3 linked regions of the Oryzias latipes genome follow. The main gene of each other region encodes a partner of the protein of the gene in region 2 in a complex. Links are inferred from orthologs where the notes say so. Each region holds a gene or a part of one and is shown on either strand. Other genes may lie near its edges.

Region 1 (7,543 bases), on a different chromosome or scaffold from region 2:
AATCCAAAAACCTGTATCGTTTTCTAGATCAGACTCTGTGAGGCACAGCAATAGTTCCATAAAAATCTGTCTGCAAGTTGTGTGTGGGACTTTGGCGCGCAAGTAAGCCTCAACAGATATCCCATTATCCCTTTGTTTACACTGTCCTGCTAGCTTACGACCTCTCATAACCCCAAGCTGACATTAGTGGAGCAACAAAAAGGCTCCACTAATAAGCAATATTGGAGCTATCCAGCTGTAGAATTTTGAACCAGATGCCAGCTCAGACGGGGACAACGAAGCATTCATGTATCCACCGTATGTGACTGCAAGTGCATGCATCAGAATGGAGCGGAGCAGAGAGGCTTTGGCCCATCTATTTAAGGTGCTGCATCACAACTGACAGCTTTTGTGAACTGCAATTTTTCATTCTGATTCACCACTTTTTATATAAAGAAATACTCAAATGCAGTTTTAAGCCTAAATTCTTTTTAGGTGTGCTCTATCAGAAAAATGCTGTAAGAACATGTTACTAACACCTATTTTCTTTGGAGTGTTTGGTAAACAACACTTTACTAGAGGGAAATTATTTTTTTGCAACGCTTAATTTACGTTTTTATTAAAGGAGTGCTCTCAATTTCAAATCAGTGCATCTTCCTCAAAGCCACAGGAACTTCGAACATGATGCTTTATCCAATGAACAAGTAGCCATTTCTTTCATTCCAATTCCTAAAAACCTGAGGCACATTGACCAAAGTTTTATAGCAACAAACTGAGCTGTTGCTGAACAAAGAACACTTTAATTCCTTATTCAACCTCTCCTTTCAGCTAAATCAAGGGGCTTAAAAGCAACATCAACTTAAAATGTTTCAACTTTGTTTATACTGGATGACCAATGGATGAGTGTTTGCATTCCCTAAATCACCAGCAGTTATAGCTGTTCAGTAAACTAATAACATACACCCTAAAATAGAGCTTTAAAACACAAATTCAAACTCGAAATCGAGGTAAATCAAAACTCTCTAATTTATGTCTACAACTCATAATACATTGTTTAAGCAAATTTTTCTTAATTCTGTCTAAAAGTTACAGTTTAATTAATGTTGTAAACCTATTGTGCTCCTTATATTTAAGTATACTAAGCAGCACAAATGCCCCACTCCAAAGTCAGTTTTTTTATGTTTGCATAGTTTAAATAATTTCATTATAATTTATAAATACTTGTTTGGTAGTTTTTCATAAACGGCACTGATTTGAAACACACACCACACACAAAAAAAGCACTCAGCGGAGGCAGCATGCAGTCTGTGGCAAATCCCAAGGCCAGAACATGCCATCACAACCCATTGCATCAATGAAAGAGGGGTTCTGGATTAATTCTTTCATTTTACATTACTCAAGATCTTTGGGAAATAAAAGTAAAAACACCCGCGTGCGACCACCTGTTCAGTGTCTGTCAAACTATCTAGGCAGTTGTAACTCAGTGTCTGAGTGAACCCCTTATGACCAGCCAAATAAACGACGATTCCTCTTACTAAGAATATATAGAAGCACTCATTGTAGACGTCTTAACGTCTTTTTCGAAATCCAAGACCCCCACTTCATTCATACTCCATCAAACAAGCATATGGAAATAAGTCAATGATACGAACCAGTTTCCACTTGAGGCTGCTGCATCTCCTGCTCGGTGATCGGGACAGTTTCTGTCGCTTCACCAGGCATTGTTGTCGCTAGAAGACATAATTACACGTAGTGTTTTACCGGCAAATCAAACAGTCGACACACTTTAATCAACACTATTGTTCGGTCATCACAGAACCTAATCGTTTATCGTTATCATGGCCGGTTGAACAGGTGACGAACCCATGCTTAAGCGACGGTTAGCTCCCGCTAAGCAGCGACCGCCCGAGCGCCTGCTCATTCGCCTTTAACCGCCTTTTCCTGCCATTGCCATCACTTACATCGGTAACCAGATGGCTATTACTTTAATAGACGTACATCTGGCATCAAAACGCTCACTCCAAGTCACTCAGTTCGCTACTAAAAAGTTACATATCGTGCTCCCCCATTTTGAGCTGCTTGTCAATGCTTCAGCAGCACATTCTTCACTACAGAGAGGCATTACAAGAACAATAATTCAACCAACGTGATGGTCACATCTCAATTAAACCAGCCAGGTCTTTAGCAAGGGCATACATGTAGGAAAAACTGCCAGATGATATTGGATTTCAAGCGGAGATCCTCACCAACTCGGGACGCTAATTCCAAGATGGCTGTGAGAAAGAACTCCTGACCCCAGTTTTTGCGTAATATCCGGTGGAGCACCTTTCTACTTCCGGTATCATTAGAGGTAAAGTCTGGTGTGCTGTGTAAAAACGTTTCAATTTTTGAATCAAACTTATAGTCTTTTTATGCATTAAAAACAGCCTTCTCTTCGTAGAAAGCATTGAATATATCTAGGTTAAAAAATTTGGGAACACATTTTGTCATAGTAAATGTTTATTGTAATCTTTTAAAGAGGCTTCTTTTTGTCATTTGAATCAAATTTTCTGTCAGATGGGTTTGGCATGCTGGGAATAAATTTACACTATAGAAATTAAATATTAAGTATTTGTAAGAACTTTTAAAAAATGTTTTGTTAAAAATTTGGCTCTGCAAGCTTGCAAATAATGAACCTCAGGGTGCCTGTTTTTTTCTTAGTTCAGTGGTTCTGATCAAAAATGATAAAAATTATACCAACTGTGCAAATAAGTTAGTATGGGTGTCTTCAATAATTTAGTCTTAGTTGTGGTCATTTGACACACGCTTTTATCAGTTATTTAAATTGGTTGGTAAAGATTATACGCCCTTAAAATTTTTGTTCACTTTAGTTTAGGAGACACCTGATAAAGAGACATCCTCACAAACATATCAAAAATATTTTTGGAAGTGATTAATACTTTGCACTCTAATCAAATCCCTGTTTTTAAATAAATCAATCACAAAAGGTTGAACAAGAGCTTAAATTTAATACATTTTATTGAATGCCTCACAAATATTTATACACCAGCAAAATGTTGGAAAAATGTAGAAAATTACAAAGATTTGATACAAAAAGATATCAAAGTCACAAGAGTCAAATGCACAAATGCATAAAGCACTACACATCCATCACCACATGTACTAACAGACAGTAAAATCTGTTATTTTTAAAGCACGAGTTTGATGCCTGTCAGAATTCCATTTGATCATCTGGAAGAAAGAAAATTCAGCAAAATGAAAAAAAGAAGAAGAAAACATGTTTTAGTTTGAAAAATGAGAATTTACCACTCTTTCTGAGAAGTTCTCCCTTCCAGGAACGAGTCATTCCATCCAGGAAAGAATCAAAGTATTTCACATACTTTGCCAGGCTGGTTCTTTTGTAATCTGAGGAGAAAAAAATGACTTTTTTTGGTTTCTGTGTGAGTTTTAAAAAATACAAACTCTCAAAAATGAATGATAAATACTCTCAATAGGAAAGTGGTACGTTCTGTTACTTTACTTGTTACAGTAGCCCCGTTACGTAAAGCCCATCAGTCGTTACCTTACATTTTTTACACATAACAGCGTACATATTTTAATGGCAGGGCATATTTCAGTATTCTTGTCTTTGAGCACCTCTCATCTTCCGAGTCTCAACTGCATCTTTCTCATTTTCTTTGTCTTGGGATTCCTCCGACTTTTCCTCTTCTGTTCTGGGACGATCCAGCTCCTCACAGATGCGACTTTAATACAGCAGAGGCCTCGTTAGTCTTCCTGCATCAAACACACTGAGGGATGCCGAATTCTTCCCTTACCTGATTGTAGGCACAACAAATGGATCAAAGCTGTCTACTTCTTTGAGATCTATGGGAACTGAGATCCGACCTGAAAAAAATAAGAAGTGTTTTATCAGTGTATTATCAGACTACCGGTAGTTAGTATTCAGAGATTATTTAACTTAATGTTAATGGGTTTGAAATATAAATTAATAACTATTTGTTTTTAGTAGGCTGCGAGAAGTTGAAGCTGGGGTAGCTATGGTGCTCTGGGGTTCTGTAATCTTTTCCCATCTACTTCTACCCTTCCTCTCCTCCATTATTGATCATCATTCATCATTTAGTTCTCCATGCCTCTGTTTGGTGCAGTGCGATTCATGTATTGTCCCTCTTTCCCTCTCCCCTCCTGGGGATTGGGAGTGCTTCCAGATTCCAGTTGGCTCATCCGTGCTCCTATTCCTGACCGAGTACCTCGTCTCTGCTCCTGTTCCTACACCTGGCTGTGGTTCTTGTCTCAGGCTCGACTCGCGCCCCTGGCTGTCCCCCCAACCACGGCTGGATGAAGCTCGTCTGCTGGACTTTATATATGTAGTTGTAAAGTTAGATAAGTTAGTTCTTCTCTATGAGTTCTGGTAAATCGCCTGTCCGTCCTGGTGGAGGATCCCTCCTTCATGTGGGCACCCCTGAGGTTTCTTCGTTTTTTCGAGTTTTTTCTTACTGCGAAGGGGGGTCTAAGGGCAGGGATGCCAGTCTAGCTTAGCTTAGTTTGTTAGTTCATTTTAGCATTTTCCTATTGAACTCTTTGTATTCATGATCCTTTTGAGTTCATGTTTCACTTCGAAGCCCATCGAGACGACTGTTGTTGTGATTTTGGGCTATACAAATAAAATTGAATTGAATTGTTTTATTTGCTCAATTAAATTTTCTTCCCAAATCTTTTTTTTTTCATGCTGCATAAAATAAAATTAAAATCTTCTTGAAACTTCTATTAGTTCTTTAATCAAATTGCTGTGAATCAGGAGCAGACGACAAATGTTTAAAAAAGACCGTATTTGTGACAGAGGTGACAAGCTCCCTGCTTCGTTCCATTCTGATGCATCCACTTGCAGACATTTTGGACCTCTTGGTTTTCCTCCTCCGAGCTGGCATCTGGCTCAGAACTGTGCGACTGCATTGCTCCGATATTGCTCACCTTTTTCTGTACTGGTAATGTTGGGTGGAGGTGAATTTTTAATGAAATACTGCCCTGCCGCTCTGCAGAAACTGTCGTAGAAAACAACAGTTTTGTTTGTGTGTGGCTAAAAACGGAATACCGATAATAAAAAACCACTGGGAGCACTTTCCAATGGACAAAAGATTATCTGAGTGGGTCTTTAACAAAACAAAAACAATGACAGAAGTGTCTGTGTCCAGATGAAACAACCAAAAGCTTATTGTGAGTCATTTAAGAGCTCAGGAAGTATTCAAGTTTTACTGGAATATGAAAAAAAAACAACCCACAGACTGCTCTGTCTTTTGTTTTCATTGAGCGCAATGCTAAACTGCAAATATAACTGAAAGAATTTGGTGAACTCTTGAATAGTGTAATCCAATATAACAATAAAGGGGCAGGACAATATTCATCTTCCAAAGCCCAGTAGTTCATCTTGTCTTCTATTTTATTTCAAATAGTTTACAACAGAAAGCGTGCAATAGCTTCAGTTATTTATTTCAACAACAGTCACCATTCCAAAGAGAGCTAATTATTTTAAGTAATAACAAAATATCGCATCTTTAAAGGTTTGCTTTTAATCCTTAATTTGAAAGTTTGACAGTTGTTGTTTTTTACATTCTTGTATGACATTTGCATTTTTGTCAAATCTGGCTTCATATTTATATGAATTTGTCTTAATGACTGCAAACTTTCTGCTCCTTTTAAGGCATAATCACCTGTTTTGGGATGGACACTGAACGGACTCTTGAGCAGATGGTTCACCCCTTTGCTGACGTTCACGTCGAGCCGAGGGTAACAGTACTGCAGCATGATTTCTTTTTCAAAGTGTTGGCCTTTTTTCACAGTACCCTAAGAAAAGAAAAAAAAACAGACGTCCTTCTGCACAAGAAAAAAAGATGTTATAAAATAAACCTATAGAAAAGTACAAACCTGCTTATTCTTAGCTTCATTTTTTATCATTTTCCAGAGTTTTTCTGGTTGCTTCACACCTTTCATTTTGGTCTGCAATTCATTTCTGACATGTTTTTGTGTATTAAGGTTGTAATTGTTTTATCTTATTGGCTCATATTAACACAAAACTTGTGACTTAAAAAAAAGGATATCTTCAGGCACAAGGGCCAGCACTTTGTCCACACACTCCTTGCGACCCAGTATGTCTTGGTCCTGCACCGCGTATTCCAGAAAGTATTTCTCCACCACTTCCAAAGATGCACTGTTAAGATTACAAATGTGGGAAATCTGAACAAACTGAAACCTAAACAGAAGAAAATGTTCAATTCTAGTAAAACAGAACAGTTTGATGCTTTAAAAATGGTTAAAAGTCTCCAAAAATAAAAGATTCACACCATTCACTGATGTGGGACTGCAGATAAAAATAGAATGCGTTTGAAACATTAAAATGTGGGTTATTACCTGATAAAGGGATGAATTGGATCTGTCAGGACCACTTTCTTCACCGTCTCCTCACCGCCCTACGAAGCAAACATGAGTTCAATAAACAGAAACTGAAAAAGAGAGATTTACAGGAACTGCATGAAAATGTATCAACAATGTTCCCTTATTTATGGAAGTTTTTTTTCCACCCATAATTCAAAATAATATTCAATTCTCAATCAACAATTAAATTTGCAATTTGATCATGCAATTTAGAAACGCATGTGGCAGATGAATATACCAAACTGACAAATGTTTTGCAGTTTCTTTAGAATTTTGACAGAGAAATATCACGGCAAATAGAAAAGCAATAGAGTTTATGTTAAATTAGGATGAATGTAAAACAAACAAGTAACTGAAATATATATATTTTTAATAGTGATTTATAAACTGGAAAATGTATTTTCAATATGCATATCCAAATTCCACATTGAATTATAAATTGCAAAATCCATTTTTACTTGTAATTTTAATTATGGTAACAAAAACCTATGACTAGTGGTTTTTATTTCAAATTACATTTTTAAAAATGTAACATTGAATTCTTATTTTACATTGAATTTACATTTTAAAATGGCAAAATGAATTGTCAGTTGGGAACTGAATGTTACTACGAAGAAATCTTCCACACTTGTCTCTATTTTTTAAACAAGCAAACCTCTTTCGCTTTTGTTTTTATAAACTGTTAAATTAAACCCATTTGCACCACATTACCTTGACCAGACTGAGGTATTCTGCCACAGCGGAACGTCCTGCGGCAGAGAGCTTCCGGGCAGCTTCATCACACACCCAGCAATGCACTCCTCTTCTGCCGGAGTAAACCCACAGCAAGTGCTGGAAACCAAAGTCGTCTGGAAATGCCAGAAAGCAGACTGCGGCTTCAAATAGGTGTGGAGCAGTGAAAAAGAGGTGAAGAGACACTGAAGACAAACCTCGGAGAGCCCTGTCCAGAATGTGAATGGCGATGGTCATCAGCGTCCAGCACTTGGAACAAATATCTGCAGCACTACAAGTGAAGTTTTGACATATTTAGTACATTTATGGAGAAAGCAAAGACATTACAAAGTAATGGCATATCAATAGTTCTACCTGCAGCAGGTGCGGACATCATCGTAGTCGGTCATGTCAATGTCAAACACAA
Region 2 (8,660 bases):
AATGTTCTACTTCATATGTTCTCATGCAGCCTTCCTGTCTCTGCCCTCGCAGTTGCATCAAACTCCATTAAGCTATTGACCACAGCTGATGCTCACTCTGCTTTTAGAAAACACAGCAAGATGGACGCTCAGGCTCATCGATCAACGGGAGAGAGGTGACATTCATCAACCCCAACTGTATAATTTAGTAAAGGTGTCAGAAATCACAAGAAGATGTATTCAACTTGCGGGGTCGGCTCAAATACATTAAAACCAATGAAATGTAAGATAAGACCAATAAAAAAAGTCATCCTTCTGATCAAACTGCATCAAGGGCAAAGTGTTGCAGTGCGATTGTGCCTGAAAAACTGCCAGTGTCTGCCATCTGTTGACTGCTGGGAATATTCTCTGAGATTCAGTCACACCACAGAAAGAGAACCAGCACAGGAGCAGGAAGCCGTGGGTGTGTGAGAGGAGGATGCAAACACGGAAACAGATTTATTATCCGTGAACGAGCACCTGACGTCAATGCATCTTCCGGGAACAACCTGCAGGAGAAGGGATTCAACATCCCTTCCAAGTATTCAAAGGCCCTCCTATTAACATCCCATTTGTACTCCTGTACGCAGCATTAGGGGGGTCTATGCACCTGTGGGTGGACTGGAGTTTCATGGAGCCAGAACTAGAACTACAATTTTTATTTTTTTACTAACTAGCATACTTTTTCTGAAATTGATTTGTTTTATTTTTACAGATTTGCATCTTTCCGCATTTTTTTAACTGTTCAACAGAGAGTACGGTGTTTTTATGTCAGTAATCATGAAGGTTTTGAGGGAAAAAAAAACCTGTGAGATCTTTTGTAAGGAAGTTTCACTAAGATCTGTGAAAGATGCACTCATGAGGCTTAAAAAATAGGTGTGAAAAAATGCTTTGCTATCAGTCTGAACACTAAATTTCACCATAAAATGTGCTTGTGTCGATTAAATAAAGGTGAGACAGTTGAAGCACACATTGTCATCGGCGTACATGAAAACTGGTTTCACCTTCTGCCCGAGCCTTGCAGCAAGATTGCACAAATGTTTCAAGGAGATGCACAAAAAGGGTGTAATGTCCTTAAAGCAAAGTTCAAATTTCAAATTTGAGGAAATATTTATAAAACTGGATTTATTTAAGTAGAAAATATTTAAAATAATTTGCAAAAGCAACAAATGTAATAATCATTGGGAAAGATGAACGACTCCTGTCATGCTGTCTTCTCTTTGGTGTAATTTTGATTTGATCTTTTAACCAGGAGGACAACAAAAATGTGTTAACTCATGAGAACCCAGCCCCATTGTCCTTAAAAATAAAAATTATGTGGGATATACCACAGTCCAGGTGGACCATACAACACATTTCTGTTGCTTTTCTGTTACACTGATGGATTAAGGAAGGATTCGCCTCTTCTCTGAATCATCTGGAACAGTTAGAATCCAGCAATTTAGCAAATAGCAAATACTATAGGCTAAACTTGGAGATCAGGATGGGAGCACGCTCTGTAAAGCTGACTCTGGCACAAACAAAGAACATCTGGCATGAGAAGGATTAAATCCAGAAAGACAAACAGAGGGTAGCAAAGGCAGGAAAATGTGGAGTTTCTTACAAGAGTGGCCAGTTTGAAATGAAGCACAGACAAAATGGAGATGAACTTAAATGAGGAATTATACCAAAGAGGGAAAATTAGAAGCACTAATATCGTCTTTGTCCCAGTCTCTGAAAAACTGGGCGTTTGTCCTTTTAGTAAAGCTGTTTTTACTAAGACAGCAGACAAAAACATTGTCCATTCAGCAGTCTGTGAATGCCAGCAGCAGGAGGCTGCACAGCATCTGTTTCATAACAAGGGGGTAACACAAGATGCCCAGTCTCCTCCCCAGTCTTTGTCACACTTACCCCCCACCCCCCCACACACACACACAAACCTACAGACAAAAACAGAGCCAGTCACAGATGCCCTACCGTTCGGGGATGAGGGCAGGTGTGTTCAAGCTCCTCCATTATTCCTCAGATTCATGGGATGTAGCAGAGATCTATCTGCTATGTGACTCAGCATCAGTGAGACGATGCCTCTCTCCTCCTCACTCTGTCTCCTCTGTTGGCCCCGCCCACTCTGTGTCCTTTACTCACCCTCTGACTCCTCCCCGTGACGACTCAATGCAAAAAAGAGGGCTAATGTGATGAGCCTCACTCCATCTTTTTTTATGATACCACAACATCCTTTTCTTATTTGAATTGATTAGACGCGGCTTAATATCTGATTTAAAAAAACATCATGTGTTGTTTATTTTTGTTCTATATGTTTCTATCTAAAATTTTAAACAAAAATTGTTACTATAAATTGAATATTTAGGAGAAATAGCCTCAATTACGAGGCACAAGTACACCACGATCCAAATAGACGATCTTTGTGTGATGGCAGCCCATCGGAAGAGCATTGGAAGGGGTGAGGCTGTGAAGAGCTTTCTCCATGGCAACGAAGATGACAGAGCTCCAAAAAACGAACCAATCAGGGAGAAGCGAGAGTCTTGGCTTTAAAAAAACGTATTGGTAACTAATTTGAAAGAAGAAGTAAAAAAACAATCGTGAAAAAAAAACATGATTAATTTGACCTTTAAGATCTTTTTAAACATATATTTTTTAGCAGAGCGTGGGCTTCATCATGTAAAGATTACTGCATTCTTCTGCTGTCATAAAACAGAGTCCTTTTTTGAATAAGAGTTTAAAATAAATTATGCACACAAATTTAGAATTGCATATTTTACATTTTATTTCATATATGAAAGATATTGTTATTTATTAATAATATAATTACATAAATATTTAATTTTCTTGGAAGGAATTTCAGAGATTTTTAGTGACAAAAGAGGAACTGGAAGTAGTTTACTAGTTGATGTTTACAACATTAAGAATTTTACAGTAATGCAAGTTAGAGGATTTTTATTTTATTTTTCCTTTTGGCACCCTTAGTTTTAACTATGAAACCCAAACCTGAAAAATATGATGTGATTTTTTTTTAATCAGGAGGACCATAATAACCTATAACCTTTGCTTTTAATCTGGTTCCAGTCTCCTTTCTTTGGCTTATTCATAAACATGTGTCTTGCATCTAGTATAGTAGGCTACCACACTTTGGCTTTGTATAGAATTCTGCAGCAATCTCACATTCAGAGCACAAAAAAAAAGTTAAATCGATTCATGAAAACCACGTTCTGTTTGCTATAGGTTTTATGAAGTTGGAATCAGAGTGAGTTTAATGTCTGATTGATCCACTGAAGCACAAAGCTTTGCAGTTTCATTCTGATAGAAATCAAACTGAATTTCATCTCAGTTCTGGAACATAAAGCTCAACTCTATCAAACAGATCTGAGTAAAAATCCAAACAATCGCTTCTTTATTTCACCAAAATCTGCCTGTGTGGGAAAAACTTTTACATGTATACATTTATAAAACAAATGATCTGTTATGTTTACATCACAAAAAGCACAGTTGTTTTCCTGAAAACCAAACCCAAGAGCTAATTGCACATTGAGCAACACTGCCACCCAGTGGACAGATAGCTGCGCGCATCAAAAGCCAGGATGTCGTTGGGTATGACGTCACTTCCTGCATATGACTTTCCCCGGGAAGATCATTTGGCGCGACTGTATTGTTGTTGTTGACCTGCCATCGTCCCCTCTTTGCACGGCTTGAAGTGGGCAGCCAATAAAGACTTAAACTAGAAGTTATGTCTCCAGTTTCAAACCCAGAGAAAGACGTGGACGCTGCGGGAAGTGGTGAGTTTGCGGGGAGTCTGTGACTAGCTAGAATTAACGAAGAAGGCGAAGCACGCGGCTAACACAGTTTAGTAGCTAGCTCACGTTTACGCTTTCTAGCCAGCTTTTTGCCCTAAATTCAAATATCCAATTAACATATGTGTCTTTATTATGCATTGTGTGTTTATAATGATTATAACATTCAAGAATAGAAGAGATGTCAGCTTGGTTGGTCTGTCTGTCTGTGTGCTCAGATGATGGCGGCGATGGCTGCAGCCTGGCCAAATCTCGCTCCAGGCGAGAGAAGAGGGAGAAGGTCGGCAGGAAGTCCGCTTTGGAGCAACTAAAGAAAGCCAAGATGGGAGAGAAGATCAAATACAAGGTCAAGCGGGACAGATTCTTCCTTTGTCTGGTTCTTTGTCACTGAAGTGTTGTTTTCGTGTATTTTATTTTGAAAAACCAAGTAAAATACAAAATAAAGTCAATCTAGAAAACCTGAAGCAGGAAAATTAAAAGACAGCCCTTCCCTTTATTTTTATTATCATTTAAAGAAAAACTTTAGAAAATAGTCTAACACATCACTTATATGCACATATAGTTTTGTTCTGCTATCAAAACATTAAACACTTTCACTTAAGTGTGAGCAGCAATAGCGTTTCCATATATTTATTATTTATTTATATGTATGTATGTGTTTTAAAAAGATCAAAATCAAGTAATGTCTGTAATAATAGGTGGGAAAATACTTATCAGCTGATTATGAGACTCTGAGTCTTCTACAAAATAAGTAATTGGGTGTTAATCACTAAGACTTTTTCTATCAAAATAATTACTTTAGTAATATTCATTTTGATATTATTTAAAATTAAAATTCCACTTCAAATCAGCGAAGATCTCAAAAAAGCTTGATTTTTCTCCATGACACCAAAGATGCCATTATTTACCGTCACTTTAATGGATCTGTCTGAAAAAGAGAGGTTCGTGTCATGGACGTTTTTAGGAACCCACGGCGGCTTATTTCTCATAAAAAATGATCAAAGATTGTTGTTGGGCTGTCCCAATCTACAATTCCTAAATCCAATGTCCTGGAAATTTTCCAGAAGTCTTTGTGAGAAACTAGCGTGCATTGATGCTCACTCGATTGGAGAATATGGACCGCAATTCATTGTTTTTGAACTGTTTGTCATTTAAAAACACAATTTTAATGTATCTTTTTATAAACCATGTAAGCTTTCGTCATTAGGACTCAGTGGATTCACCAATAAGCTTTGTGAAATGTTCATATTTACTAGATTTTTACCTTGGCAAAAACAAGCAGAGAGCACAATTTCTGAATTGTGTTAAAATCCAGGGCACTGGATAGCCCCACACCATGTAGTCTGTTATTGTGGTAGTCTGAACACATCCAATGTGAGTTTTGACAAATTTGTGCCATTCTACTTTGATACTTGTTTGACACCCGTTGATGTTTTTCCAGGTGGAGGAGTTTAGTCATGTGTACGAGGAGGTGGATGAGGAGCAGTACTCCAAGTTGGTACAAGAAAGGCAGGAAGACGACTGGATTATCGACGATGGTAAAACTCAGTTATTCTTCGTCGTGAAAAATTTAAAACAAAACAAAAAACCCAGATGGTCTTTTTTTTCTGTTAGATGGTACGGGATATGTGGAGGACGGACGAGAAATTTTCGATGACGATTTGGACGACGACGTGGTGGAAAAACGGGGTAAAAAACAGTCGGAGGGAGTTGCAGTTTTGAGGGTAGGAGCTCAAATGTCAGATCTGTGGAAACACATTTGAGTTTGTTTGTTTTTTTTGTTTGCAGGAAAAGGGGGCGCAAAGGGAGCGGAGTCCAAGAAAACTGTGAAGAAAGCTGCAGTAACCAAACCCAACACCATAAAGAGCCTTTTCATGAACAGTAATGTGAAAAAGCCTGCTGAGGTGTGTAGGTTATTCTCTTGGAATGATAATAATTTCAGTTTTTTTGTATAAATATCTTTATTCTGCCTCATTATAGAATCCACTTTGGCCTTTTATAGTTTCTAAAAAAAAAACATCAACTGGATTTACAGTTTTGTTTACACACAGTTTTGTCATTTTTTGCATCCTGCAGAAAGATATTGATTTATCCAAAGACGACCTGTTAGGAGATATTCTGCAGGACCTGCACTCTGAGGTCAGTAATTTAAATTCATAAAAAAGCCTGTTTAATTCAATCTTTGCCTGTCTCCGTCTCATCCGATGTGTTGTCTTATACTCCAGAAACCAGCGGTTCTGGCTCCTCCCCCAGTGATCACGCTGAAGAAGAAGAAGTCTTTGGGTTCACCCATGAACCCCTTCTCCATCAGACATCAGATGCCTAAGGTACCTCCACACCTCTTGACTCTGCATGTCTGAAGCTGACCGCTTAACCTCACTCATGTCGTTTTAGGAGTCTCCGATGACGGGGTTAAAGGCTAAAACCGTCCGTCCTCCACCTGCAGAGCTCAGACCGCCGGCCTGCCCGTCTCCCCCTCTGGAAAAAAGCAGTGAAAAGGTGGAAAAACCAAAAGAAGAAGAAGAAGGTGAGGAAGACTCCAGCTCTTTGGCATTTGTTGTTTTTAAGCGTGACTGTATCATCAATGTTCTTCTCAGAGAACGACTCACTGGCATTAGACGAGGTGGATTTTGATGAACCGATGGAGACGGAGCCTGAGATCAAAGAGGAGACAGAAGCTGAAGCAGCACCCTCAGTGCCTAAAGTTGAGCCAAAGAAGGAGCCCCTGAGTCCAGCCCCCCTGTAAGTTAATCCAGGTTTCTTGATTTCCTCATAACATTTTTTTAGTAGTATTCCTAAACCGTTCCCGGTGGTCTTTTGATTATGATCATGTTGTTTTTTAGCAAAAATGTTAAAAAAATTGTGTCGTTTTCTAGGACATAGTTTCTGCAGAGCAGCAGTAGTTCATTACAAACTCCCCTCGGAGTTGTGGTTGTTGGTCTGTTTACACGCTCTCCCGCTACCTTACAGCCCCTCACACCTCCAACCTAACATTAGCAGTAAAACAAAAATAGTTAGCAATATTGGAGCTGTCCAGCCGTACACTTTTGATCCAGATTTCAGCTACGCCAAATTTAGAGTAGCCATTATGATTACGAGGTGATTTGATTTGTACTTCATGGAAAACAAGCACGTAGTGCTTCCTTTGCTGTTAATCCAGTATTTGATTTCGATGAATAGCTTCACAGTTTTTCTTCTTGTTGCAGTCCCTCCAGAGTTGGGGGTCATTGGGGTCAAGAGGAGGAGACTGGAGCGAGTGACGTCCCCGCAGAAGTGCATGTGGACTCCAGCCAGCTGCCGTTGGTGGAGGGTGAGGACGGAGAGCCGGCCTTTCGCTTTTATTGGCTGGACGCCTTTGAAGACCCTTACAACCAACCGGGTAAGTCGTGGTGGAACCTGCTATGAATCAGAAGAAGACCTCCTTCTTTTCAAAGTCTGAGATCTGGCGGAGGTTTATGGTGCCTGTCCTAATATTTATCTCTGGCCGTGGCTCAGGTGTGGTCTACCTGTTTGGGAAAGTGTGGATTCAGTCGGCAAAGTCTCACGTGAGCTGCTGCGTCACCGTCAAGAACATCGAGCGGACAATTTACCTTCTACCTCGTGAATACGTGAGTGCCACTGTGTTTGCACTCATGCATGGTCAACGAAAGAAAACGTTGTAGAACCTTTTTAGTACATTTTATTGGACACTGACATGATCACGTTCACCGGTGACAAACAATCTGGAAAAACTGCAAGACAGAAGTCTGTTAAAACAGCTTTCAAAATAAAAGGATCATTCAATCTTTAGAGAAATGGCTCCACAGTACAATAGTCCATCCCGTAAGTTCCCTTTAATGTAAAGCACATGTTTATATGCCATGAGTACTATCACTCTGTCTGATGAAGTACTGGTCCAAATACAGCTTTTTCAATTTGTTTCCAAAACTGGACAAATATGTGGGACTAAGTAGCCAAAGGAATTTACAGAGCACAATGTTTAAAAGTGCGTTAGCCAAAAAAGCCACGCCCCCTTTTTTGAGTTGATTTTGTTATAAATAAATAAAAAAAAACAAAGGTAATAAGTTGTACCTCTCAAAAGCTCAACTGATTCATAGAGACCAAAACCTGACGGTGTTTTTCGCTGTTGGTGATGTGTCGAATTGAAGTGGATTTGGAGAACTAACTCAGCCCCAGCTGATTTTGTTTGTACGTGAGCTTCAATCAGGAAGTCATTGTTTCCCCCCACATATTCGGTGCAGGGATATACAGTCTAAAATAATCAAATCTAATCTTTCATTCTGTCCAGAAAAGTAGCTTAAAACGTAATAAAAAATGTTAAGTTTTTGTTCAGTTCCAGGTATTTCCGTTGTTTTTTGTTTGGCTTTTAAATTGAAAATCCGCTTAAATGTTGGTAAACTCAAACATGTTTCAAAATTCTCCACTCTTATTGAATGTACTCAACAGAAAACCAACCCCAAAACCGGCGAAGTGTCTGGCGAGCCTGTAGGAATGATGGACGTTTACCAAGAATTCAGCGAGCTCTCTGAGAAATTTAAGGTCATGAAGTTCAAATCAAAGGTCGGTGTTTGTCCCTCTCTGTCATCTCTATTGCATTAAGGAGTTTTTGTCCTGTTGGATTTGGATTATACATTTCTTTAAATTGTTTCCCTGCAGAAAGTGGAGAAGAACTACGCTTTTGAAATTCCTGATGTTCCCAATCAGTGCGAATACCTGCAGATCCAATACTCTGTGAGCAAACGCCTGCCTCCTTCGACGCCGTCGCTCAAAGCCGGAACAGTCTGGTTTGACGTTTTTTTGTGTGTTTTGTCTATTGAAGGCCGAGTTTCCAGCTCTGCCGCCCGACCTGAAGGGGGC
Region 3 (8,027 bases), on a different chromosome or scaffold from region 2:
GGTTGTTTTTGTGGGTTTTTTGCTCGCATACAGTAAAGAAAAGATTATACTTGTTTAACTTTTGTTTAAGTCCCAGTCCGATCATCTTTTGATCTATTTTCAAAGCGTTCTCAGTGGTCTTTTAATTATGATAATGCTTTTTATAGCCAAAATGAAAAAAAAAAATCTTTCCATTTTCTAGGACATAGTTTCTGGAGAGCAGCAGTACCGGTAGTTCATTAGAAATTTTTTTTTCAAAGTTCTGGGTGGGACCGTTGGCCAGCGGAAGCCCGCCCCCACTTTCCGTCACCCATCTGTTTACTTGTTGTCCCGCTAGCTCACAGCTCCACACATCCCAACACTGACATTATTTTGTCTGCTCCTGATTCGCAAGATTTGAATAAGAAAATACTCAGGAATACAATTTTGAGCTTAACTTGTTTTAAATATATGCGGTGTCCTGTCAGAGAAACACCTTATGTACCCAGGTAGCTACTGAACAGAATTAAAAACAGTGCAGAAGTGCGCGATACGAGTTCCCATGTTTTTTTGTGTTCCCTAAATGCTAAATTTTGGTATGACACACCTCGCATGTGGCACGACCTTCGACACTGAAAAAGCCAAAATGCTTCCAAACGTTAGCTTTAAGCGACGCCAGGCGCGGTCGGATCGCTCCGTCTGCAGGGTCAGCCATGTTTGTGTGCTCCAGCTGAAAAACCTGCTGTTCCTTTAGGTTCTGCTTAATTCTTTTGTGTTAAATCCCATCCATTTTTTGATTCTCAAGTTAAAAATTGAAGAAACCAATCATCAATTGATGGATTGATATCCACCCACCTTAACCTAAATCTGCATCAAATATGTTTACATCTGTTTTTTCCCCCCAGTGACTGGAGTTTCACAAAAAAATCTTATATTATATATTGGAAATGTTTGTTCTTTAAGAGACATTGTTAACCAAATTTCAAAACCTCAAACCTTTGGAAAAGAATGAAACTTTTCTACCCATTTATTTATTTTTTGTTCTTTTTACAAAATGTTTTCTTTCTTTCTAAGAAATCTAAAATAGTTGTGATGCTGTTTTTGCTCTCACATATCCCAGGCTCTTTTGATGCAGCACATTCAAAGCTGTACGTCTTGCTTTTGTATATAATTATAATTTTCATTTTTCACTAGGGAATCCCTTTGTAACCCCATTCTTTTAAAACTTTCATTCAGTTCACGTTGCAGCACCTTGTTTCCTTTTCTACTTTGTAATTGTGGTCCTTGTGATTACTTTAAATAGGTCAGCATGGGGCCAATCTGCCCTAAATCTATCATTCATTAGGGGCTTTTACATCAACAGGAGGCTTTTTTTGTCAATAAAACTCTTTGAGCACATACTGTAAATCTACCTTTAGAGAAAAGAAAATTAAGTAAAGAAAATAGTAAAGTGTGCTTTGAATCAAACAGAAAAAAACCTTGTAACCGTCGTTGCCGTGTTGTAACTCCCAGAGCCGGTGTGATGCTACGTCTTCCAGCAGCACAGTGCTGACCAGCTCACAGTGATGCATGTGTTGTGTCAGCGACTGCACTCTGGCTTTGCCGCGCTCATTAGTATGCAGCAAGCAAGAAGTAAGAAGATGGAAGGCAGCGATGCCGAAAGGGAGGCCCGGAGGAAGAGGCAATGTAATCTTAGACTAGAGGGCCAGAGAAAATTGATGGAATCAACTTGATCTATTCATTCTTTCTGCCACAGAAGTTAGCCTGTTCATTTGGAGGATTGTGTGTTTGCAGCTCATTGTGGTGTGCTGTTGCCTCGGGGTACGACTTCTGTTCAGCTGCTTGTTTTACAGATGTCAGATTTAAGTCAATTAATTTCCACTAAATGACAGTTTTTCACATCAGAGCTCTGGAGCATAGAGTCTAAAATGGCTGAACACTGATATTGCTGTTCCTACTGTGACATTCACCTTGTTTTCATTCATTGACAGCATTATTCCTTACTTCTTGAGATTTGAGGTTGAATATTTTGATGGATGGGGTTTTATTCTTTCTATTTCTTTGCAAAACAATTTCTCCTCTTTCTGATTTCATCTTTTTGTGCTGCTGTCATTTTATCTGTACGATGAGATCAAAATGTTTTTTTTTGTATTACCTGAGATGTTCTATTCACCCAATGTCACTATATTTAACCGTGGCACACTTTTGCAGGTCAAAAAGTTAAACTTTATTTCAACTTTGTCTTTGAATAACTTTAGTTATCATTTTTATGTCTACATAATGCATATTAAACAGCCTTGAGTGCCATTGAATTTCATGTTTTGCCTTTAATAGTGTGAGAGGATGTAAATCAAGAAATATCTTCTTAAATCCTTTTGAAGATCTTCAGAATTAATATTTGATTTATAAGAGTTAAGAAAGACCTGATGGGGTTTTAAACTGCCACTGCAGCTTGTCATGTTAGCAGGTTCAAGGGTTTTATTGCAACATTAATATGAAATGGTGTCTGTGATTGTGCTCTGCCTTTGTGAGAGCGCTCTGGCTGAATTTTACTGAGAGTTTTAAGAGGCAGAGTTACTAAAATACATTTTAATGGTTTAAGATGATTACTACGTAATTAAAATAAAAGTTTGCCCTTTATAAAACCGTTGCCATCATAAAAATGTGATGTTTTTTAGTTTTATATTGAGGAGTGATCTGCTATTTGTTTTAAGTTCAGGGTGTCACTTTTTTGTTGTTGTTGAAATTTCTAATTAATAAACCGGTTTATTTTTAATCATTTATAAAGCTAACTAAGCAGGAAATAAAATCCACTAATACTTTTTTTCTGAGTAAAGAGTTTTTGCACTGATTTCGATAAGCAGACAAAAACATCACTACAGGAAAACGTCATCATGGTGTGAAATATTTTTAATAAACAGTTCATGTTGGAAAAGTCCCAACACCAGTAAAAATACAAGACTTCTTATGAATTGAATTGACTTTTGAAAAATTCTACCAAAATTTATAATAATCAGGGAAAATGTCCCCAAACCATGATACTACCACCATCACATTTGAAAAATGGAACGTGTGGGAATTTTAAATGGAGAAGTTCGTCTTTTTGTTTGGGTAAGCAAACTGTTTTGGGGTTTCCTTGAGCAAGCTACAAAATTAACACACTTTCTATGAGGTAAGGTGACTGTTGATAAGAAACAGATGCATAAATACAAATCTAAAAAAAAATAAAAAATCTGGATACGCCATTTAGTTTTACGTTTGATATGTCTATTTTAAATACGATTTGGTCCGAGTACGACTCTTACTCATCTTTAAATACAAAATGTTCCCCAAAGATACATCACAGCCCAGGGTTACAGGCATATACACCGGGTCCCGAAACATCAATTCAACTGAGTGAGCGTGTGCTTTCAGCCTCATGTATTAAACTAAAACTAAAATTTTTAGAATGTTATTGATCAATTGGAAGGGAAATTATTTTAAGCAAAGCCCTGTTATGTAGTAATAATAATAATAAAAGCGGATAACAGTGATGTCGGGCGGCCTTTTTTGTTGCCAGAACAGCTGATCGAATAAACAATGCTCTGGATCCAGAAGTGCTGGGGGAAAAAGTAGACCTCCCTCTTATTAGGTGTAAAATAAATAAATAAAAGTCCATGCTCGTCTAAAGAGACAAGGGAATCATGAAACAAAATAATAAAAACCAGAGCAGGAGGCGGAGGGATCCCCACTTACCTGCTGCCACTGCGCTCCCGTCTGCCCGCCGGTCAATGGCGGCAGGCGGTGGCAGCCCCGTGACCCCGAAAGGGATATAGCGGCTTAAGAAAACAGATGGGGGGGGGGGGGATAAAAAACAAACAAACAAGAAAGCATAAGTAGGGTAACTGGTGGCCGACTCGATCGATGGTTAAAAAAGAGAAAATTAAAAAAAAGAAAGTTAGTTGGATATTCTGATCCTACTGATGTTATTTTTTGTATTTTTTATTTAATTTGATCTTTTTTACCGCAGCAACAGTCGGCTGCTGGTTATTCTAGTTTAGCTCCGATTTAACTCAACTGCTTTTGTTTAGTTATCCGTCCTGGGAGAGGATCCCTCCTTCATGTAGACATCCCTGAGGCTTTTTTAAGGAGTTTTTCCTTACTGAGAAGGAGGATCTAAGTTTAGTCTGTTTAGTTTAGCCATTACCTATTGAATTTTATAACTTCATATTCATTATGATTTCATGTTTACTATACATTTACTGGTATGAAGCCTATTGAGCGACTATTGTTTTAATATTGGGCTACATAAATAAATTCATTTTCATCGGGTACCAGATGCGTCCAAAGTTTAGTGAGTTTTTGAGTACTGTATGTGGCGGAGGTCAAGCTTTTGCTCAAAGGCACAGTAAAAAAGAATTACAAAAAAGAATATGGTCCTTGCAGACCATATGCTGCGGGCCATAATAAATTAAAAATAAATAGGAATTTAACTGGTCAGAACTCTTCAGAAACGCCTTTGTTTGCTTTTTAAGCTCATGAGCATCAGTCGATCTGATCTGAACTACCGTATCTTCCGGAGTATAAGTCGCTGCGAAGTATAAGTCGCACCAGCCCAAAAATGCATTATAAAGTAGAAAAAAAACACAGAAGTCGCACTGGACTAAAAGTCGCATTTTGACGGGAAATTTATTTGACAAAATCTGAGACCAAGAACTAATAACTTGCACTACCTCATATGACACAATCATAGCAGACTGTCCTTTCATGAAGCATCATTGGCCAACTAATACTCTGTTTTCATCCTGTGTTTGTAGAAACAGTTGTCATTTTTATTGCATTTCTGAATCTATGAAATCATTGGAAAATAGAATATTATGTTTTTAGCCTTCAAGATCTTACTGTAAAAAAAGGTTTGCTGATTCTCTGAGTCACTTAACATCCTCTTAACACTTAACATACCTCATACATCAAATTGACCCAGGAACATCATCTCTGTTCCTCACAAATGAACATAACAGGAGGGTTAACAATGTATTTATTTCAATTTAGTTCTAATTCGCTGCGGAGTATAAGTCGCAACCCTTGCCAAACTATGAAAAAAAGGGCGACTTATAGTCCGGAAAATACAGTATTTCCTTACTTCTTTTTAGGACACCTTCCATTTAATTTAGTAACATACCTAAAACCAAATAAAAACTAAGGCAAAGTATCATTATCTAATATCGTGAAATTGGTTCTAAATTTTCTGATGTTTCTGATTATATTTGACAAAAGTTGAGAAACTTTTTTTTTTAGCACCCTTTGCAACTATTCCCATATTAAACTGCTTTCATTGTGGAAGCTGTTTGCAGTGGGTTAAAAAGGGGTGTAGGACAATAGACTGAAGCACAGACTGATGACCTAATTAAGGTAATTTCACAGACTCACGTGTTGCCGCACCTGTACAGCAGGTCCTCTTTAATAGCTCTATATTTCATGGAGCAGGACACCCTGTCAAAGCAGACCTGATGTACGGCGATGTCCGTTTTCACCCCAACCTTGCCCCTCTGCTGCTCTCATCCTCACGTCTGGCGTCTCTTCTGCTCATTTTTGTCTTCGCAGTTTGATAAAGCATATGCTTATGGCATCCGTCACATGTACGGCAAAGAAGGCAAGCGAGCGGACTACACGCCGTACAGTTGCATGAAGGTGATTTTATCAAACCCACCCAGTCAAGGGGACCATCATGGTGAGTATTTAGCTTCTCTGCCAACTATTAAAACATTCTAAAAACAAAAATTGTTACCGTTTTCTGTGTTCTTGCATTTTTTTTTCGTGCCTTTGGTCTTGTATGTTATCGGATAGTTAAATTAGTTCTTTTATTTTGGTAGGATGTCCGTTCCGCCACAGCGACCCAGAGCTGCTAAAGCAGAAGCTTCAGTTTTACAAGGTGTCTCCCAGCAGTATAACACAGGTGGGGCCATCATCTCTATGCTAATGCTGTCTGTTTGTTCCACTTCCCCTGTGGCCACCACAGCCATCCTGCTCTCTGCTCAGAACATCTTGGTTGTTACGTTTTATCTCCAACACCATCAAAGTCGCCCAAAACAAAATGGGATTTTTCTCAATAAATCTGTTTTGATCAAATATTTGTTTAGCCACAGTTCTGATCAAGCTCTGCTTTAATGTTAATGGTTTTAACTAAAATTGCTGCCAAAGTTGCGCCATGTAATTTTAGGAAATATTAACGTAAAAAACAGGTCCAAACCACTCTGAGAGCTCTCCCTTCACTGAGGATGCAGGAGAACGAACACCAGGCTGAAAACCAAACCACATGGAGTCCAAAACAAGCAGATTTCCATTTACTGGACAAAAGGAAAATATTATTTTATTGGGCAGATTATAATTATGTATTATTTTTCCTTCTGCACTGGCTTCGTTATGGAATAAAAACGTGCTGGTTGTATCTAAGCAACAGCTGATGTGATGATGCTGAACTTTCTTGGTTTAAACTGAGACTGTAGTTCACTAAGCATTGATTACCTTTTGATGTAAACAATCCCTCTTAACATCGTGTCATTCGGTTTGCATTAGTCCTCTAAACTCCTCATAGGATGATATCACAGTGCTCTTTTTAAATGACCCATAATTCTGCATTCTGATCCTCGTCAGGCCTTCCTAGTTTGTGCGTTTTATTTGCTGGTGCCTTCACGTTCCCCATGCAAATGAAGGAAGACTATTTGATTTAATAGCCATAAAAATCAACATCATCTTGATGCTGGAAGAGATGATTTTACTTCTAAGGATTTTCCCCTCTCTTCCCTAATGAATAATATTTCCCACATAGACCAAAGGACGTTGTCAAAACGACTTAATTCTGGTGCTTTGGTGATGTAGCTTTCAAATGTCTCACCTGCATTGACTGCTGGAAGGCTGCACAAAATCCAAAATCCCCCAAAACAGGTGGATCCCTGCTGCCACGTTCCAATGATATTTGTCCTTCTTTTATGAGGGAAAAATGTAAATTGAATTGACAGAACAGCTGGTGTTTGTGTCTCATACTGCTCTAAAACTAAAATAAAACAGCAATATCTGCCTGAGACTGCTTAACTCATTACTTATCTAACAGCAGCCTTGCAGCAGAGAGTGCTGGAGGCCGTCGTACAGTGATGCAGGGAATTATTGAAGAACCAAAGGTAGACTAAAAGAGCTCCTGATCCAGCAAGAGCTGCAGACTTTGCTTTTTCTGATGATTCAGCTTCAGAAAAGGAGCCAAGTAAACCACAGGTGTGGAATTACTGTGTAAATGCTGCTGAAGGAGGCCAGGACTGTGCAAAAGACCAAAAGTCCAGTCAGTTTACCTTTGAGAAAGTCACAAGGCAAGGCACATTTCTTGTACAAAGTCATTATGTGCTTTACATAAAACATTAATAGAAACAATTAAAAGTAATAAAAGTATGATTAATAAAACAAAATTGAAAGAAAGTTCTAACAAACTTTCTGCTGGAGTTGACTCAGACTACAAATACATCAACACATGATGCATTTTAGATTTGTTATATTTGAAATGATTTCCTTTAGGGTATTTTTTCAGCTCTCATTATGACTCATCGCTGCCAAAACCCCAAACTGGAATGGAGTGGAGCAGGGAACATGTGGCCCACCCAGAGTGTTTTCTGCGTCTCAAATATGCTCTTTTTTAAGCAGCCTTTTCTTGTCTGCCCCTGATTCACAACGATTTAAATAAAGTAATACTCAGAAATGAAATTTTAAGCTTCATTTTCTTTATATACGTCCTCCATCAGAAAAATGTTGCAAGAAAACCTTAAAAACACCAAAAACATGATTATCGGAGTGGGTCTCTAAACTGAACAAAAGTGGGCTTTTTATTACTCCAAAAAATAAAATTTGACATTAAAAACAAACTTTTTGATTCCTTCTTTCAGAAACACAAGAACTGGATATTACATCTTGTACGTGAACTTCAGCGTCATTAGCTTTGAGCCCAGCTCTGTCTCTGTTTTTAGGCTCGTTGGACATTGAGTGCAGACTTCAGGGTCCTCTGAACACACTATTTAAGGAGCATTATTTTACCTTTGTTGCAGATA

What was found.
Region 1: the proteins of pola1 (region 2) and prim1 are in contact, whole or in part, in a cryo-EM structure (PDB 7OPL), measured with the Homo sapiens proteins. The link is inferred for Oryzias latipes from reciprocal best matches to the Homo sapiens genes POLA1 and PRIM1. Residues at the interface, in NP_058633.2 of Homo sapiens: Tyr439, Ala440, Pro447, Glu448, Lys449, Ser450, Phe876, Thr877, Thr878, Gln880, Leu906; in NP_000937.1 of Homo sapiens: Asn92, Thr93, Val94, Lys95, Leu96, Gly97, Ala98.
Region 3: the proteins of pola1 (region 2) and prim2 are in contact, whole or in part, in a cryo-EM structure (PDB 8G9F), measured with the Xenopus laevis proteins. The link is inferred for Oryzias latipes from reciprocal best matches to the Homo sapiens genes POLA1 and PRIM2. Residues at the interface, in NP_001082055.1 of Xenopus laevis: Leu842, Lys853, Ile894, Pro895, Glu896, Leu971, His974, Arg977, Glu978, Leu981, His982, Glu985, Gln988, Lys989, Asn991, Glu993, Asn1007, Asn1009, Arg1101, Asp1102, Glu1106, Gln1109, Glu1221, Asp1224, Gly1225, Asp1227, Ala1229, Leu1230, Met1233, Trp1234; in XP_018121015.1 of Xenopus laevis: Pro34, Pro35, Thr36, Glu37, Asn38, Ile39, Ser40, Leu41, Ile42, Phe44, Glu45, Ile49, Ile107, Phe110, Ile111, Leu114, Cys117, Gln118, Ser119, Glu120, Asp121, Arg123, Ala240, Arg241, Leu243, Val245, Val246, Gln247, Arg251, Leu252.

Annotation. Positions count from the first base shown.
Region 1 is NC_019865.2:19,071,267-19,078,809, forward strand, and holds the end of prim1 (DNA primase small subunit), read right to left. Parts: coding exon 7,492-7,543; intron 7,409-7,491; coding exon 7,335-7,408; intron 7,254-7,334; coding exon 7,117-7,253; intron 6,441-7,116; coding exon 6,382-6,440; intron 6,182-6,381; coding exon 6,072-6,181; intron 5,991-6,071; coding exon 5,899-5,990; intron 5,818-5,898; coding exon 5,685-5,817; intron 3,865-5,684; coding exon 3,795-3,864; intron 3,723-3,794; coding exon 3,616-3,722; intron 3,385-3,615; coding exon 3,286-3,384; intron 3,211-3,285; coding exon 3,191-3,210; 3' UTR 2,968-3,190; downstream 1-2,967. Other genes in the region: naca (nascent polypeptide-associated complex subunit alpha), read right to left, coding at 1,632-1,701. UniProt on the Homo sapiens protein: Catalytic subunit of the DNA primase complex and component of the DNA polymerase alpha complex (also known as the alpha DNA polymerase-primase complex - primosome/replisome) which play an essential role in the initiation of DNA synthesis.
Region 2 is NC_019878.2:15,178,198-15,186,857, reverse strand, and holds the start of pola1 (DNA polymerase alpha catalytic subunit), read left to right. Parts: upstream 1-3,615; 5' UTR 3,616-3,739; coding exon 3,740-3,788; intron 3,789-4,021; coding exon 4,022-4,149; intron 4,150-5,244; coding exon 5,245-5,341; intron 5,342-5,417; coding exon 5,418-5,492; intron 5,493-5,591; coding exon 5,592-5,707; intron 5,708-5,879; coding exon 5,880-5,942; intron 5,943-6,028; coding exon 6,029-6,130; intron 6,131-6,197; coding exon 6,198-6,330; intron 6,331-6,400; coding exon 6,401-6,545; intron 6,546-7,009; coding exon 7,010-7,182; intron 7,183-7,298; coding exon 7,299-7,411; intron 7,412-8,249; coding exon 8,250-8,363; intron 8,364-8,459; coding exon 8,460-8,534; intron 8,535-8,622; coding exon 8,623-8,660. Other genes in the region: pcyt1b (choline-phosphate cytidylyltransferase B), read right to left, coding at 1,975-2,013. UniProt on the Homo sapiens protein: Catalytic subunit of the DNA polymerase alpha complex (also known as the alpha DNA polymerase-primase complex) which plays an essential role in the initiation of DNA synthesis.
Region 3 is NC_019873.2:24,454,962-24,462,988, forward strand, and holds part of prim2 (DNA primase large subunit), read left to right. Parts: intron 1-5,541; coding exon 5,542-5,668; intron 5,669-5,810; coding exon 5,811-5,893; intron 5,894-8,024; coding exon 8,025-8,027. UniProt on the Homo sapiens protein: Regulatory subunit of the DNA primase complex and component of the DNA polymerase alpha complex (also known as the alpha DNA polymerase-primase complex) which play an essential role in the initiation of DNA synthesis.